3 linked regions of the Drosophila melanogaster genome follow. The protein of the gene in region 3 purifies or fractionates together with the protein of the main gene of each other region. This does not show direct contact. Each region holds a gene or a part of one and is shown on either strand. Other genes may lie near its edges.

Region 1 (5,339 bases), on a different chromosome or scaffold from region 3:
ATCAACAGAAAAATAAGCAAAACTACAACAAATTTGATTACGAATATGCAATTTAATCGTTTAAAGCAATGGGTCGGGTCTTCGGTGCAATTATGAAACTTGAAACTTTAGGAAAACATATGTACATATAGAAGAGATAGAGAACGTTGATGGCGTGGTTTGGTGTCACTGTTCTTAGGAAACGCCTTCGTTTGTATATTTTACATGTCTCGCCTTAAAGACGGGATGTTAGTCAGCGAAAGTTTTACTTGTTTATTGTGCGCGTCGCGGCTGTGAAAAACATGGAACTAAAATAAATACACATGATGTCTGGCACGTAGCCGACAATGGCCCCTCAGAAACCCCTTCTTTCCAAGTTCAGTTAGGTTTCTTTTTCGGGCTATTCAAATCTAATAGTTTTTGCCTAAATATAGAACAAGCTCTTTGGCATGCCCATAAATTTAATGCTCACAATAATACAAAGTAATTGTAATGACAAGATCAGAAGTCAATATATACTATGTACAAATGACTGGGGTCGCTATTTTACGGATTTTTTTTTGTAAGTGCTAACAATTTTGCAAAAAGTTTCTAGGTTTTCATTTTTAAGATATACCCATAATAATATGTTCAGCTTTCGCGCCATTTTTTTGACCGCATCTGTATATAATAACGGTACTGCGTCTTGGAAATTGCAAATGTTTGTCAATGGGCGTGGGTGTGACAGGGATAGCGATAGGGACATGTATCGAAACTCCCCTATAGACGAAATTCAAGGTCACGCAACAACAACAACACCAAAGCTACTACATAATTTTGTTACCGTTAAAGCTTTGCAACCCCCACAAGCAATATAGCCGTCTCCTTCGCACTAACTCTAAATTGAAAGTTGCTTGTATTTCCATGCCTATGTAATTGCTTTTGGTGTACATAAGTGCCTACATACATACACATGTTTTACTTTTCCAGCTGCTTTTGTTTTCCCTATTTATTTGAAATGTTTTTATGCTGTTTTGCACTTTTAATTTAAATGCTATATAGCACAAACATAAATATGTATAAAATCAAATCAAACAAACCAACACGAATACATAATATGATTTATTTAAATTATGTACATTCGTTTGATAAACTTTTCTGATTAATTATCGCAATTTTCGGTTGTAAAATTGTCGATTTGGCACTCTTCTCATACAATTCTTTCATCCATGTACATATAGATGTCAGCATAATACAAATGAAAACAAAGATAACGTGCAAAAAAGAGCCGCATGTGTTGTTTTTTTTTTTGTGTTTTCATGTGTTGTTTTTGTTTTTTGAGTGCTTTTTATATTGCGCCGCTTGTGCTTTCTCCTCTTCTTTAAACGCGGATTCTTATGTATTTCCCCCTCTGTAATATGGATGTACATACATATACATATGCTGTTACCGGTCTTATGTTTGTTTTGCCCGGTATAACCTTGAAAATTTTGTGCGCCTCACGAATTTCTATGTTTTTATTGCCGTCTCCTTCCGGTCTCTTTCTCATCTGATTCTTCATCTCCTTCTTTCGCACTTGTTGTGCCCCCTTTTTCGGATAACAACAACAACAGAAATAACAAAATGAACGCTTTTCAGCATTTTTTTCGAATCTCTTTTCCACCTTCGCGCTTTTTATTGATGCGTGTCCGAAATTATTTTTTAACCCCGAAATCAGGAAAAGGTTGAGTTTGTAAGAAGTGGAGAGAGAGATAAAGAGGAGCGATGGAAAAGAGCATAAAAATAAAGTGACGCTGTCGAAATTGCGTCGCAAACATTTCGCAAAAAATAAAATACATAAGCAATGTCCAATAAAAAGAACAAGAAAAAGAAGCAGAGACGTTCTCACCATTGAATGCTGTTGTTTGTTTTTTTTAACAGAAGAGATCGAACTATTAGGCGCACATGAATTGCATAAATAGATATAAAAGAAATTAAAAACCAATTTGTGTCACCCACTCTTTTTGAAACTACAGAATAAATTTGATGGTTTTGTTATGCCTTTTATAAACTGAGAACTGTATTTGTTTGGCATCCAGTAACCAGAAAAATTGAAATTTTTTTGTATTTTGCCTGGAATTGTTTGCAAAATTCCCCGTCCAGAACCCTTCTAATAACACATCTCGGGTTTGGAGTCATATTATACTTTAGGTCATATTGCATTTGCATCTGATTTTGTTAAATACTTAAATAATCGTTAATTATGCAGAGTGAATTGTACCACCACTGTGAGCCAGCAATTCTGGTAGATAATATGGGAAAACAAAATCGGATGACATGGAAACATTGGACGGGGCGCCGAATGCAAATAAACCTCGAGACAACGAAAATAAAATCAAAAAGCCTAAGGAACAAGTTTGGCAGGCAGAAAAAAAAACAAACAAATTCACCCCCCATCCAATGTGGGCAGCTGTTTTTTTTTTCGGTTTCGGCTTTCCTCGTTTCAGTTTTTCTCGAATTTTCGGGTGCGTGCGTGTGTGCCGGTTGATTTTATCACGTAGACCAACGTTTTCCAATTGGAGCAAATAACGCGCATCAACAAATTCTTAAATTTCACCTATTTTTATTGAAATCATCTAATATGGCATAATTTTGTGACCGCGACTGTAATTTCGTTTTTGCTTTTATATTCGCATTCGCCGGCAGTTTTTTTCGCTTGCTTCTTTGAATTGGTCTTCGTCAAGATCGATGTTGTTGTTGCTGCTGCTGCTGTTTCTGCGTTTTTTTTTATTTTGCCACTTACCTAAGTGCTTTTTGTTTTGTCTCTCCGGCTGTTTCGCTCGCTCTCTCTACTTCTGTCTTTGATGCTGCTGCTGCAACAAGAACAAAAACTAACGACACGACTGCAACGACGTTGGCCCACTGCAGTTGACGTTGACGGCGGCTGCGCTGCTTTTATACGATGAGGAGCCTGTTTAATAGTTGTTGCTTTTCTTCGTGGGCTCCTTTATTTTTTCCCTGCCTCTCTTTCTCTTCTTATATGCGTGCGGGGGAGAGGGGTTGGCAAGGCAAATGGCAAAAAATGCACTCAAATATCTTGTGTCTCACAGAAAAAAAATACACAAGTGTGTGAGTGTTTACTAAAAGGCTCCTTCACACGCGCATACACACACTCGCACACCCACAACTATTCAGTTGCGTGTGCTGTTTTTTATGCCTTATTCACCTTCGCTTTTGTTGTTTTTGCCGCTTAACGATGTGAACTTTTGATTTCTTTTTCAGTAGGATTGGAACAAAAAGGATTGAAGAACCGCAGAATAAGGAACCAATAACGCACACTGTTGTTCACGCCGTGAAAACTCAACTCGACTGAACCAGAGAGCGACGAGACGTGGGTTTTTATACTTTTTCGGCGAGACCGTGCTGCCAGACTGTTCGATTCTGGTAAGGTGGTGGGTTATAAAAGCGCACTTGGCGAAGCTTCCCCTTAAAACGGGGAAGTTTATTAAAAAGTTTGCAAATATATGTAAATACAAATTCAATCCTATGTAGTAAGCCTGCCTATGAGGAAAACTAAGATAAACGAAACTTATTGAATTTTGATGGCTTCTGGGAATGGTCCAACAGAGTGGCATCTCAGAGAAGTAGTTTTTAAAAGAAAAAGGAAAGAAATGCATACAAGCAAACATATGCATATTTAGTAAAAACAATGAAACATTACTTTATTTACACACTCACTGGATGTATATATATACTCGCCCAATGATCTTACCTTTTTATCAAGATTTAAAAACATTCAATTCAGTAAAATCTTATTTTCCAGGAATTTTTGAACAGGGCGGGCAGCTACATAACCCAAATTGCAGCACATTTCCAATTGGCGGCAGAAAGCGATGCAAAAGAAAACGAAGTAAATATTGAACAGGAATTGCTGTACATTTCCAAGTGGCGGCAGAAAGCAAAAAAAAAAAACAAAATTGCCGCCAATTGTGGCTCTCTTATTTGTAATTTTAATTACCATATGAATATTTATGAAATTATATGTTGAAGATTCCTTGAATTAACTCTTATTAATTTTTAATTTGAATACATTTTTAAATAAACGCTGATCTATGCTAACATAAAACGCTCCTTTTTCGAAATGTATGAAATATGTTTATTTGTATGTATGTTGTATATGTATATGTATGTATTCATATGATGTATGTAAGTAAGTAAGTATGTTCATAGATTAAGGAAAAGTATTCAAATCCATTAATCGCTTGCGTTCCTTTTCGCGGAATGCCCGGCGAGAGGAGCGCGTAGCTCCGTGCAGACGACGAATGATAGGGTTCTTCTCACAGTGGATATTCGGATCATATGTCGAAACCGGCGGGTCGGCATCCCAGTCCTTGGCATCACTTTCCTTGGCATCACAGTCCTTGGCATCTTCTTTTGCGTCGCTGTGGCTCTCCTCGCGTAAGTAGCTCGGGCACTTGATGATATGTTCCTGCAAATGGGATAAACAATTGAATTTAATATTTGCTTACATACATATAATATATATTCATAACCTACATATATATCGGCAATAGGGTACATATGGGTTCTGTTATATGGACAGCGAGCTAATTCGTCCGATGGAAATTTCTTGGCACAAAGCGGCAAATGGTAGGGCATTTTAAACAGCATTACCAAATGCGAGCTAGAGTTGGGACAATTGACATATTCATAAAGTTTTGGATCCGCAGACATTTTTACAACTAGTTTTGTTCGCCTTCTGCGAACTTCCCCTTCGTCAACTTCAAAGTGAGCATAGAATTTCGCAACAACAATTCTATTCAAATCTCCTACAGCGTTTGGTATTTTTAATAGAAGCTTGCAGTATTTTTTTCAAAATGAGCAGAGAATTTCGCAACAACAATTCTATTCAAATCTCCTACAGCGTTTGGTATTTTTAATAGAAGCTTGCAGTATTTTTTTTTCTTAAAATAATAATATAAAAATACAAACGTTCGATTGTTTGCAGTGCTTGTGTAAATTATAAAAATGCATTCTGAAATATATTCATTTGTAAATAATTTATTATGTTATTTACTAAATGCGATAATTCCAACACTTGACAGCCCTAAGGAGCGCTGCCATACTGTGTTCTATATCGATAACCGATAGTCCGGCGATAGACGTTGTTTACCTCTTTTAACGCACGTGCGCCGATCAATTTGCTAAATTCTTTGATTTATTGGTGCGTTTAGAGCCTATAAAATGCCGCCCATTGCCCAGGAGGGCAATTGCCTGATTTACCGCGGCAGCAACTTCCTCAAGCAGCGCCTAATCCTCGCCTGCCTGTCCGGCAAACCGGTGAAGATCAGCCAAATCCGTTCGGAGGACGAAACGGCACCCGGTCTGCGGGAGTACGAGAT
Region 2 (4,299 bases), on a different chromosome or scaffold from region 3:
GAGGAGGCTCCTGAGATTCACAAGTTTTACCTGAGTCTAGTACACTCGAGCATTCGTCCTGAGGATCGTTTGATGTACAGTATATTGATCTATCTTTCGAGGGCCGGCTGCCGAGTGGAGCTGAACAACGCCAATGCAAGCATTTTTGAGTGGATAACGGACCGCCACATCAGGCAACTGATTTTTGGGCAGCAGGGCGAAGCTGAATCGCTGCCTAGGAATCTTCAAGCTTTGGAAGTGTCCGCAGGATCAGCCGACGGTGAGGAGAGCTCTGCGTCTGCTGGAGCTGAATCCAATGGAGCCGGACCTGGAAGCGTTGCAGCACCCCCACCACCGCAGCGCCAGACATTTGAACTAATGCCAAAGCCAAACGATATCCCAGCCATTGGAGTTGGAGCATCTCCATCCACGCCCTCCGCCTCGCCGGGCGTAAAGAAACTGAACTCCGACGCAACACCGCAAAACGTCTCTCCACAGGTGGCACCGCGCAAGAAGGCGCCCAAGCCTCCGGTTACCACTAGCTCGAGCAGTACCGCGTTGGAAGCCGGAGCGGCGGGACCCAGTACCAGTCCGGTGATCGTCCCCGGTCCCCATGAGTGCATTGTGTGCAATGAGATCCTGCCGATGGTGCGCTTTGAGCCGTGTCAGCATCAGATCGCCTGCGAGGAGTGCGGCATCCGAATGAAAAAGTGTCTCCGCTGTGCCGTGGCGATCGAGCGGCGATTGACGGTCAGCGGCCGAGTGGTGGCCCTGCCCACGTCCACGTCGTCACCTAGTGACCCCACTCGCCTACCGTCCGGGGATCTACTTCGCTATCTGGAGAACAAAGTGCTGGAGTTTGAGGAGTCGCACTTCTGCGGTATTTGCATGGAGCGAAAAAGGGATGTGGCCTTCCTGTGCGGGCACGGCGCGTGCTCCCATTGTGCCGAAACGCTCCGCACATGCCACATGTGTCGCAAGACAATACTCAAGAAGATCAACCTGTACTGAACGGCGGTAACGGAAACGAAAGAAAAGCAAAGGCGGCAGGATCAGCAGCAATTCAAACAGCAACCAAAGTGGCTTGTATATATACATACACAAAACAAACACACACTCACATTGCCGTGTCATGTGCAAATCGAAATTATTATTTATTGATCACAAACGAAATTTACGAGTTCTTTTTTAATCGGTTCATCATCGGCATCGTCGCAACACGCAACAAATTAATGTGCACCTTCTCGTGTCTAGTTATTAGCCCCGTTTAACCATGTCTGGTAACGATAAATACATAGGAAACTAACTAAAGCATACAAATATTTAATAGTCATTTAAATGCAAATATACAAATATAAAATTATTTAATTGAGTGAATTTCAATCGATGTCGGTGGTTAGCCTACAGAAAATAAAGATACTTTATTTCTGAATATGCTGGGGTGACTTTTAATTGTATTGGTATTTAAAAGGTTTAGTTTAAAATTGAATATATAATAAGTTTAGAAAGATTTTAAAACTGAAATGTTGTAACGGCAAAGTGTGAACAAGTTATTTTCTTTCAGTACGCTGCATAAATTTTAAATGTTTTGCATTTTTGTAAGCATTGACTTGGCAAGCTGTCGGATCTTAAGCTCCGTTTAAAAGTTAATGTAAGCAAAAGCGGCAAAGTACAACTTATAATTGAAAATATACACAAGTTTATTTTTTATTTGAGCGAAACAATCGATACCTCCAGATTTACACGCTAATCGATAACAACGTAGCCAGAAAAAAAGCAAACACGTCACAACACTTTGGCCGCAGTCCGACGCGAAACTAAAGTAAAGGACAAAATGGCCAAACAAGTGGCTGATTACCAGTGCAGTAAGCTCCAGTTGTACCAAAAGCTGGCACTGGTCGTAATCCTGGGAGCAGTGCTTTTCTCGCTCCCGGCGTTGTGCGCCGGCCAGGGCAATCCCAGTTTCAAATACTCGCGGGAAGCCAACGAAAACTTCGATCCGCAGAAGGCTCCACGGGCGGAGCACCATCATCATCATGATCATGACCACGATCATGGACACCACCACCACGGGCACGATCATGATCATGACCACGACCACGGGCATGATCATGGACACCATCATCACGGGCACGATCATGATCATGACCACGACCACGGACACCATCATCACGGGCACGATGAAAGGCACACCAAGGCAAAGCCGGATTTGGGTAATCAACGAACTACCACTCTTAAAATGCCCGAGTTGACCCAAATTTCTTATAGATATGAGCACCATTTGGTTGCACTCGATCGGCTCAACTCTTCTTATCAGTGCCGCTCCCTTCGTGCTGCTGTATATCATTCCCCTAGACAACAGTGAGGCGATGAAGCCGCGTCTCAAAGTGCTTCTGGCCTTTGCTTCTGGCGGTTTGTTGGGTGATGCCTTTCTGCACTTGATTCCTCATGCCACGCATCCACACAGTCATGGAGAACACGGCCACGATCACGGCCATGATCACCATCATCATCATGATGGCGAGGAGCATGAACATGGTCACAGCCACGATATGAGCATTGGTCTGTGGGTCCTTGGAGGAATCATTGCCTTCCTTTCAGTGGAGAAACTGGTACGCATTCTAAAGGGCGGTCATGGAGGACACGGCCACAGCCATGGAGCACCAAAGCCAAAACCAGTGCCTGCTAAGAAAAAGTCCTCTGACAAAGAAGACAGCGGAGATGGAGACAAACCGGCAAAGCCAGCCAAGATCAAGTCCAAGAAACCAGAAGCGGAGCCAGAAGGCGAAGTGGAGATTTCCGGCTACTTGAATTTGGCGGCGGACTTTGCTCACAACTTCACCGATGGCCTGGCCATCGGCGCCTCCTATTTGGCGGGCAACAGCATTGGCATTGTGACCACTATCACTATTCTGCTGCACGAAGTGCCCCATGAGATTGGTGACTTTGCCATTCTTATAAAGTCTGGCTGTTCCAGGCGAAAGGCAATGCTTCTGCAGCTCGTCACAGCGCTCGGAGCTTTGGCGGGCACAGCGCTAGCTCTTCTGGGAGCTGGAGGCGGGGACGGATCGGCCCCATGGGTCTTGCCCTTCACAGCCGGCGGTTTTATTTACATCGCAACAGTGAGTGTCCTGCCGGAGCTGCTTGAGGAGTCTACGAAACTGAAACAGTCGCTGAAGGAAATCTTTGCGCTGCTAACCGGCGTAGCCCTAATGATCGTTATCGCCAAGTTCGAGTAATATCAAAATTGTGGAAAGTTAACACAAAAAAGATCTAATTGCATGTACTGAAAGTGTGCCGCAAACAATTTGAAAGATTTCTGTTCGTTACCTACTCAAAACGATGAGCAACTACTTAAATTTCTTATATTTCAACAGTCAGTAACCGCTATTAGTTCCCAATATAAACAATGCGGCGTTATTTAAGATTTTTTAAGCCTTCCAAATTTGTGCTTCACTTCGAAATGAAATTTTTATAAATAGTCAAAATTACACTGTAAAAAGAATCCTCACTGGCGCTTCTCTCCATTCAGGGTTGTCTTTATCTCGTTGAGACAATACTCGGCCTGCTCTACGGCATCGGGATTCTGGTGTTGCTTTCCCAGTTTCCACGCCAGTCGGCAAGCGTTCTCCGCCTGCGACATCAGGCCCTCGCGAAGATACACCAAACCCAGATTTGCCTGCAGAATGCCTTCCTGGGTGGCATCCTTTAGCTCCTTAGTCAGCTCCATGGCCTCCAAAAGGGTCTCCCTTGCCTCGGCGTACTTTTCCAGCTGTAATTAGTCTAATGTGTTTCAAGTACTTTGGAAGAATAGACGCACCTACGTTTACGTACGCCACACTGATGTTATTTAGGATGGTTACAGAGGCGTCGTTAACGGCACCATAAACATTTATGAGCGTGTCGAAGGCCTCCTTAAAGAGGTTTTTAGCCTCCAGGTATTTTCCCTGCTTCATCAGCAGCTGCCCGAACCTGGAAAATAAACATAAGGAAAAGTATTGAAAAAAGGCTTGGTTAGCGGCAATGGAAACACCTTCAATACCAATTCTTTGTCAAGCCATACAGCTCCAGTATGTCCTTGTCGTCGGGCATTTTCTCCAGTAGCTTAGCCAACTGCTGCAAGGTCCAAGTGAACCCTTGAAAGCTCTTTTCCAGATCCCCTTGCAGCTGAGACATGTGTGCTATCTTGGAGCTGATGTGAAGTATCTAAAGATGAAAGAGATCTTAACTGGTTATGGTGTCTAAGTGGGTCACCCACCTTGGGACTCTCTTCGGTGTGACCCTCGGCAAAAAGCCGTTTCATAACGTCCGTGAATATCT
Region 3 (5,334 bases):
ATTTTGTGCATTTCGACCCGCAAAAAGTGTAAGCTGGGCACAAAAATGCAAATGACAGGCGGCAGACAGTAATCCCCTATGGATGAATGGGCTAGCGGGGGCGGTGGTGGTTGGTGCGTTGCGCGAGGGAGATGAACTGGCCGCCCATTTCATTCATCGAAGTTGCTAGGGCCCATATACACCAATCAAAGTGAGTCATAATTGATAAGGTGAGTAGAAATACTTTTAACTTAAATAATTTCATTTCAAGGGGTATTAAACCAAAAAAAAAAACCTTAATAACCTTTTTTAACTATATGTTCAGCAACTGTGTAGATATACGCTTTTATATTAATTAAAGTGTAAATATTAACCTAACCTAATAAACCGTCCAACTAAGAGTACTTTGTTACATGTTCAAGTATCTAAGTTTTATTCAAGCATTTCAATTATGAACGAATACTTCTAGTTATTTTATGTTTGGCTAGAAAATCATATTAACAGTATCCGTTTGGTTCACGCATAAACTAACCACAATAAAATGTATTAATGCATTCCCACCTCAATCCTTTGCAGATTTGGAGTTGTTTCGTCGGATGCCAAGCATACCATGTACTACTGCTAGGTGACCGATGTGGACAAGGCAATAGGTGGCGGCGGCGTGGACGACGAGATCATCGAGGTGGTGAAGCTGTCCCTGGAGAAGGCCAAGCGGATGATCCAACAGGCAGCCGTCAACAAAAGCCCGCCCAGCTTGTTTGATGTGCCCGATGCGTAGGCCTAGAGGCGAACGTTGTGTTATAACACTCAACACTAACCAATACGAATGCTTTCCAGCTGACCCGCATTGTGAGGGCGCCTAGCGTACACGATATAATATTGAAATTCCCGTGCCCGTCGAGGCTTAGCTTATGATATGTATACCGTGTAATATATAATGCACCCTGGCCAGATGTCCGCTTATGAATTCGGTCAGACGTGTCATCTCAGCTGCGAGTTCCACTCCCACCGCGGCTGCCAAGTGCATAAGTCGCCTATAAATCAAAATGCCGCAAAACGGGTTCCTCTTTTCTCCGATCAAAACCCATCCGATCCGATTCGATGTGATGGGACCTGGTACTGTGGAGGACCAATACCCATACGTACCCATCTCATCCTATCCGAAGCCCCTGTCGGGCAGATCATTAAATGATCATTAAATATATTATAAAATCCATTTTTGTGATAGAACGTTGTCTACCGACATTTTTTTTTGCTTTCGCTTTAAGTTACTACATAAATACATATGTATTTAATCGCACGCGCAGAGCGGCCAAGCAAATCCTGCAGGTCAACGCTGCGGCACATGTCGCACACACATACGCACAGTGGTAGGCGCCCACCACCCAAACACACTCGCACACACACGCATGCAAATAAACGCATAGTAATTGCATTGGCACGTTGTATAAATAAATTTGCAAGTGTGTGTCGCTGCTGCCGTTTATTTATTAAACGTTGTTGTTATTGTAGCTATCATCAACTTGCCAGGGGAAGTACAGAGTGAGTAAAACGGATCAGTGAGAAAGTGCAAGAGAGTACAATCAATTTCGTATTGTAAATAAAAAGAGAGAGATAAAATAAATTTCCCAACTCACACGGTATCATTAAATGTAAGTAAGGAACAATAAGTTCTATTTGTCAGTTATAATTGAGCCGCCAGTGGGTTCGGATCAGTTTCAATTTATTAGAAGTGCGCCTGTGTGAAAAGTTTCCCTTCTCCACTAACAGAGGCAAAAAAGGAAAGCAAAACAAAAATAAGAAAATAACCAGCAAGGCAGAGCAAGTGAAACGGACAGAAAAAACTTTCATTTTCAATGTCAAGCAACAATAAAAACGTCTGCCGGTTGGGGGAGGCAATTTTGTGATGAGAGAGCCAAAAACAAAGAGCGGGATTAAGAAAGAGAAAGGAAGAAGGTGAGAGAGATCTAACTTTCATTGTACAAGAGCATGAGCATTGGTAGCAATTGCTTGCTATCTCTGTTGCCAGCAGAAAAAGCGTTAATTTCTTTTCGATTTCCGACTCAAAGATTCAAGAACACGTGCAATTGTTGCTGGTTATCAGAGAGCGAGAGAAATAGAGAGCATGAAAAACAGCTGACGACTGCCTTTCTATGCATCTCTGTTACACATCCTCTTGTTTATTTACACTGAGAAAAACAGTTTTACCATTTACTTTAAATGCGATTTTGATACCATCTCATTCTTTTTATAAGCACCCTGTATTAAATCAAATTAAACAAATCGTAAAATTTAGTTTCACTTTACATTTATTATTGAATAATTATTATTATATATTATTGTCTTTATAGATTTGAAAAGTTTTCCCATATCGTAAGTGATGTATTGTTACTTTATTTATTTGTTATTAAACGTTTGTTTTTGCTCAGATTATTTATTTTGGCGGGAGAGCGCCACACCGCTCTCTCCTTTTCCGTCACCTCACACCATGTGGTTATAACCAGACGCGTGGCTTTACAACAACAATAGTCTTACAACAATAGATGCACATACTGACACTCGCCGCACACTTACACTCGCACAGATGGGCAAAATATTGAAAAATTGCCAAAATAAGAGACCAGACATTTTTCGAATGTCGAAAGCAAGACATACTATAGACACCATATAAAATAATGGGAAGACCTCTTGAAAACTCACCATGCTCATAAGGCGAAAAGGTTCCAGCATCTATATTGATATAGGGGTCAATCTTGATCGAGGTTACATCCAGACCACAGGATTTCAAAAGCGTTCCGAACGAGGAGGCAATCACTCCTTTTCCCACGCCACTAATGACGCCACCAGTTACCAGGATGTATTTCATCCTTTCGTCTCGAATGTCAATCTTTGGGATCACCAAATGTGGAGGATTATCGTGTTATCGGTTCAATTCGCGGTGGACACTCAATCTGAGGCAATCCGAGCCACAATTTATTGTTTATTTGCCTTTGCTGCACGTGGTTTTAGAAATTGGATTCGTTTAATATCTCATACGTATTTATGGTATGACCACCGCTCATTTCATTGAGAATACCAGTGACTCACCGTGTGTTGTTAAACGTCACAAAAACCGCGCGGTTTCCTATGCATTAAAATTGAGTTCCCGCAAAAATAAACAAGAATCAAATGTAATTTTAGCATAGCAGTGAGGACTGGTTACATATTTATTTGGAAACTTGCGATTTAAATCTAAAGAAAAAATGGCCTATAATTCGTATTACTTTCCCTTGTTTATATTTTTACTCTTTGTGTATAGTTTGCGTTTTTAAAAGGAATTTCACGTTTTATATTACCAATTTTAAGTGTAAATAAATCATAATATCCGGTAAATTTGAATTGTCATAGATCCAAACAACTTTAAATGTGCATATTTAAAATTATATTAAATAATTTAAAAAGAAATTTCACCGAGAAAAAATATTTTTTGAAAATAAACATCAAATTCATATTGAAGATAAACACACTCCCATTTCAAAGCGCAAAGCATTAAATGTTGCATATTTATTGAATTTTATAAGAAATTATTGAATTATTGAATTTTATTTATACAAAAATAAGAAAACTTTGAAACTCTGTAAATGCGTGCCAAGCGAAAGAAACTCCTTGATCAACCAGTTACTTGCTGGCCTCCTGCTGTTCGAACAGAGGATACTGTTCGGTGACACTCTCCCAGGTGGTTCTCGCCGTCGACAAGTCCTTGACGACGCCCACAACCTCCTCCAGACCGACGCGCACCTGTTTCATAGTATTCCGATCTCGCAGAGTCACCGTATGCGGTTCCTTTAGAGTGTCGAAGTCCACGGTGATGCCATAGGGTATGGCAATCTCATCCGTGCGGGCATACCGCCTGCCAATGGATCCACTGGAGTCGTCCACCTTGTGCGAAAGTTCCGCCTTGGTCAGGGCAGAAGACAGTTTCTGAGTATAAGGTTGAAAGTCGGTGTTGTTGGACAGCGGAAGGATGGAGCACTTGATGGGCGCCACCAGAGGCGGTAGCGTAAAGTAGCACCGCTGCTCGTCGCCGTCGCGGCATTGGAAACTGTGCTCCAACAGGGAGTACATGATGCGACCAATGCCGAATGAAGGCTCAACCACACTCGGGATGAACTCCTCCACATGGACCGTTTTCGTAGAGTGCTTAACGCTGATGGTGTCCTTTCCGAGATCGTGGCTTTGGCCATCGGCCGTGGTCAGTTTGTATTGACCATCGCCAGCCAGCTGTTCCTCTACCTTGGTTATCTCCTCCAGCGAAAGCTTAGCCAACGCATCCGTGATGTTCTTTGCCTCCTTCTTGAAGGTCTTTCCGAGAGCCTGCTTGTTTGGCACAATCTCGCTGACCTCGACCGTTTTGGGAGCCGGCAGACGCTTCTCGGCCACCAAACGCACACCTGTGGCGGCCGTATGCTGTCCCAAATCGTAGGCACTGCGATCCGCACATCCTACGCACTCCACCCATCCGTAGGAGGTAAGAATTTCGGCATCCCAGCAATCGCATGCATAGTGAGCCATCTCATTGGACATGTGCTGCCGGAATCGCAAGCACTCCGGTTTGATACCAATGGCCAACAGGAACTGCTGAATGCGGGCCATATAGTAACCAAGTGTCTCATTAGCCACCAGTTTGGATGCCACTGCTTCGCCGATTTGCACCTGAGCGGCAGACTTTCCATCCATCTGGTTGCACGCCGAGTAAAGGGTCAACTTTTCCGATTTGATGTTGCCAAATTTGGGATGGTCCTTGAGCACGGGATCACAGAAATGTTCAATCTCTGCCATGGTGAACTCTCGCACACGGATCAATCCCGATCGGGGTGAGATTTCATTGCGGAAGGAGTTGCCAATTTGAGCCACAGCGAAGGGAAGCTTGCCTTGATTGAATTCCAGCAGTCGCTTGAAGTTGACGAAGATACCCTGGGCAGTTTCGGGCCGCAGGAATCCCTTGACCAAGCCAGTGGGTCCAATTTGGGTGGCAAACATCAGGTTGAACTCAATCGGTTCTGTTAAATCATTGCCGGTTAATGGAGATTTGATGTTGTATTTGGCCAGGACACCAGCCAATTCCTGTTTGTTCAGGCCATCCAGTTTAATGATAATATCCTCACACTCGGCCTGCAGGGCGGGAGTTGCATCCTTGGCCTTAGATAGCTTTTCCAAAGCCTGCTTAATGAGATGATCCAGGCGGAAGCACTCGCCGGTCTTGACATCCTTGACCATCAGATCAGCGAAACGCTCCACATGACCAGAGGCTTTGAGCACAGGTTCGGGAGTCAGAATAGAGCAGTCCACCTCCAGCATTTGCTCTTCGAGGGCGAA

The links. Proteins that work in one complex are often made in the same cells at the same time.
Region 1: the proteins of Ctps (region 3) and Pdcd4 purify together in Drosophila melanogaster (affinity purification with western blotting, with the first as the bait; one study listed by BioGRID). This does not show direct contact.
Region 2: the proteins of Ctps (region 3) and Catsup purify together in Drosophila melanogaster (affinity purification with western blotting, with the first as the bait; one study listed by BioGRID). This does not show direct contact.

The regions. Positions count from the first base shown.
Region 1 is NC_004354.4:13,752,090-13,757,428, forward strand, and holds the start of Pdcd4 (programmed cell death 4), read right to left. Parts: upstream 3,318-5,339; 5' UTR 3,164-3,317; exon of another isoform or gene 2,741-3,163; intron 1-2,740. Other genes in the region: CG32625 (uncharacterized protein), read right to left, coding at 4,169-4,426, 4,495-4,671; Rtc1, read left to right, coding at 5,182-5,339.
Region 2 is NT_033779.5:19,040,133-19,044,431, forward strand, and holds Catsup (catecholamines up), read left to right. Parts: upstream 1-1,729; 5' UTR 1,730-1,813; coding exon 1,814-2,192; intron 2,193-2,247; coding exon 2,248-3,218; 3' UTR 3,219-3,482; downstream 3,483-4,299. Other genes in the region: mib2 (mind bomb 2), read left to right, coding at 1-990; Ttc19 (tetratricopeptide repeat domain 19), read right to left, coding at 3,488-3,751, 3,804-3,951, 4,022-4,185, 4,238-4,299.
Region 3 is NT_037436.4:15,095,862-15,101,195, reverse strand, and holds the start of Ctps (CTP synthase), read right to left. Parts: upstream 3,283-5,334; 5' UTR 2,846-3,282; coding exon 2,680-2,845; intron 2,663-2,679; exon of another isoform or gene 2,409-2,662; intron 2,353-2,408; exon of another isoform or gene 2,331-2,352; intron 1,936-2,330; exon of another isoform or gene 1,694-1,935; intron 1,143-1,693; exon of another isoform or gene 556-1,142; intron 210-555; exon of another isoform or gene 1-209. Other genes in the region: GlyRS (Glycyl-tRNA synthetase), read right to left, coding at 3,637-5,334. UniProt on the Drosophila melanogaster protein: Catalyzes the ATP-dependent amination of UTP to CTP with either L-glutamine or ammonia as the source of nitrogen. Constitutes the rate-limiting enzyme in the synthesis of cytosine nucleotides.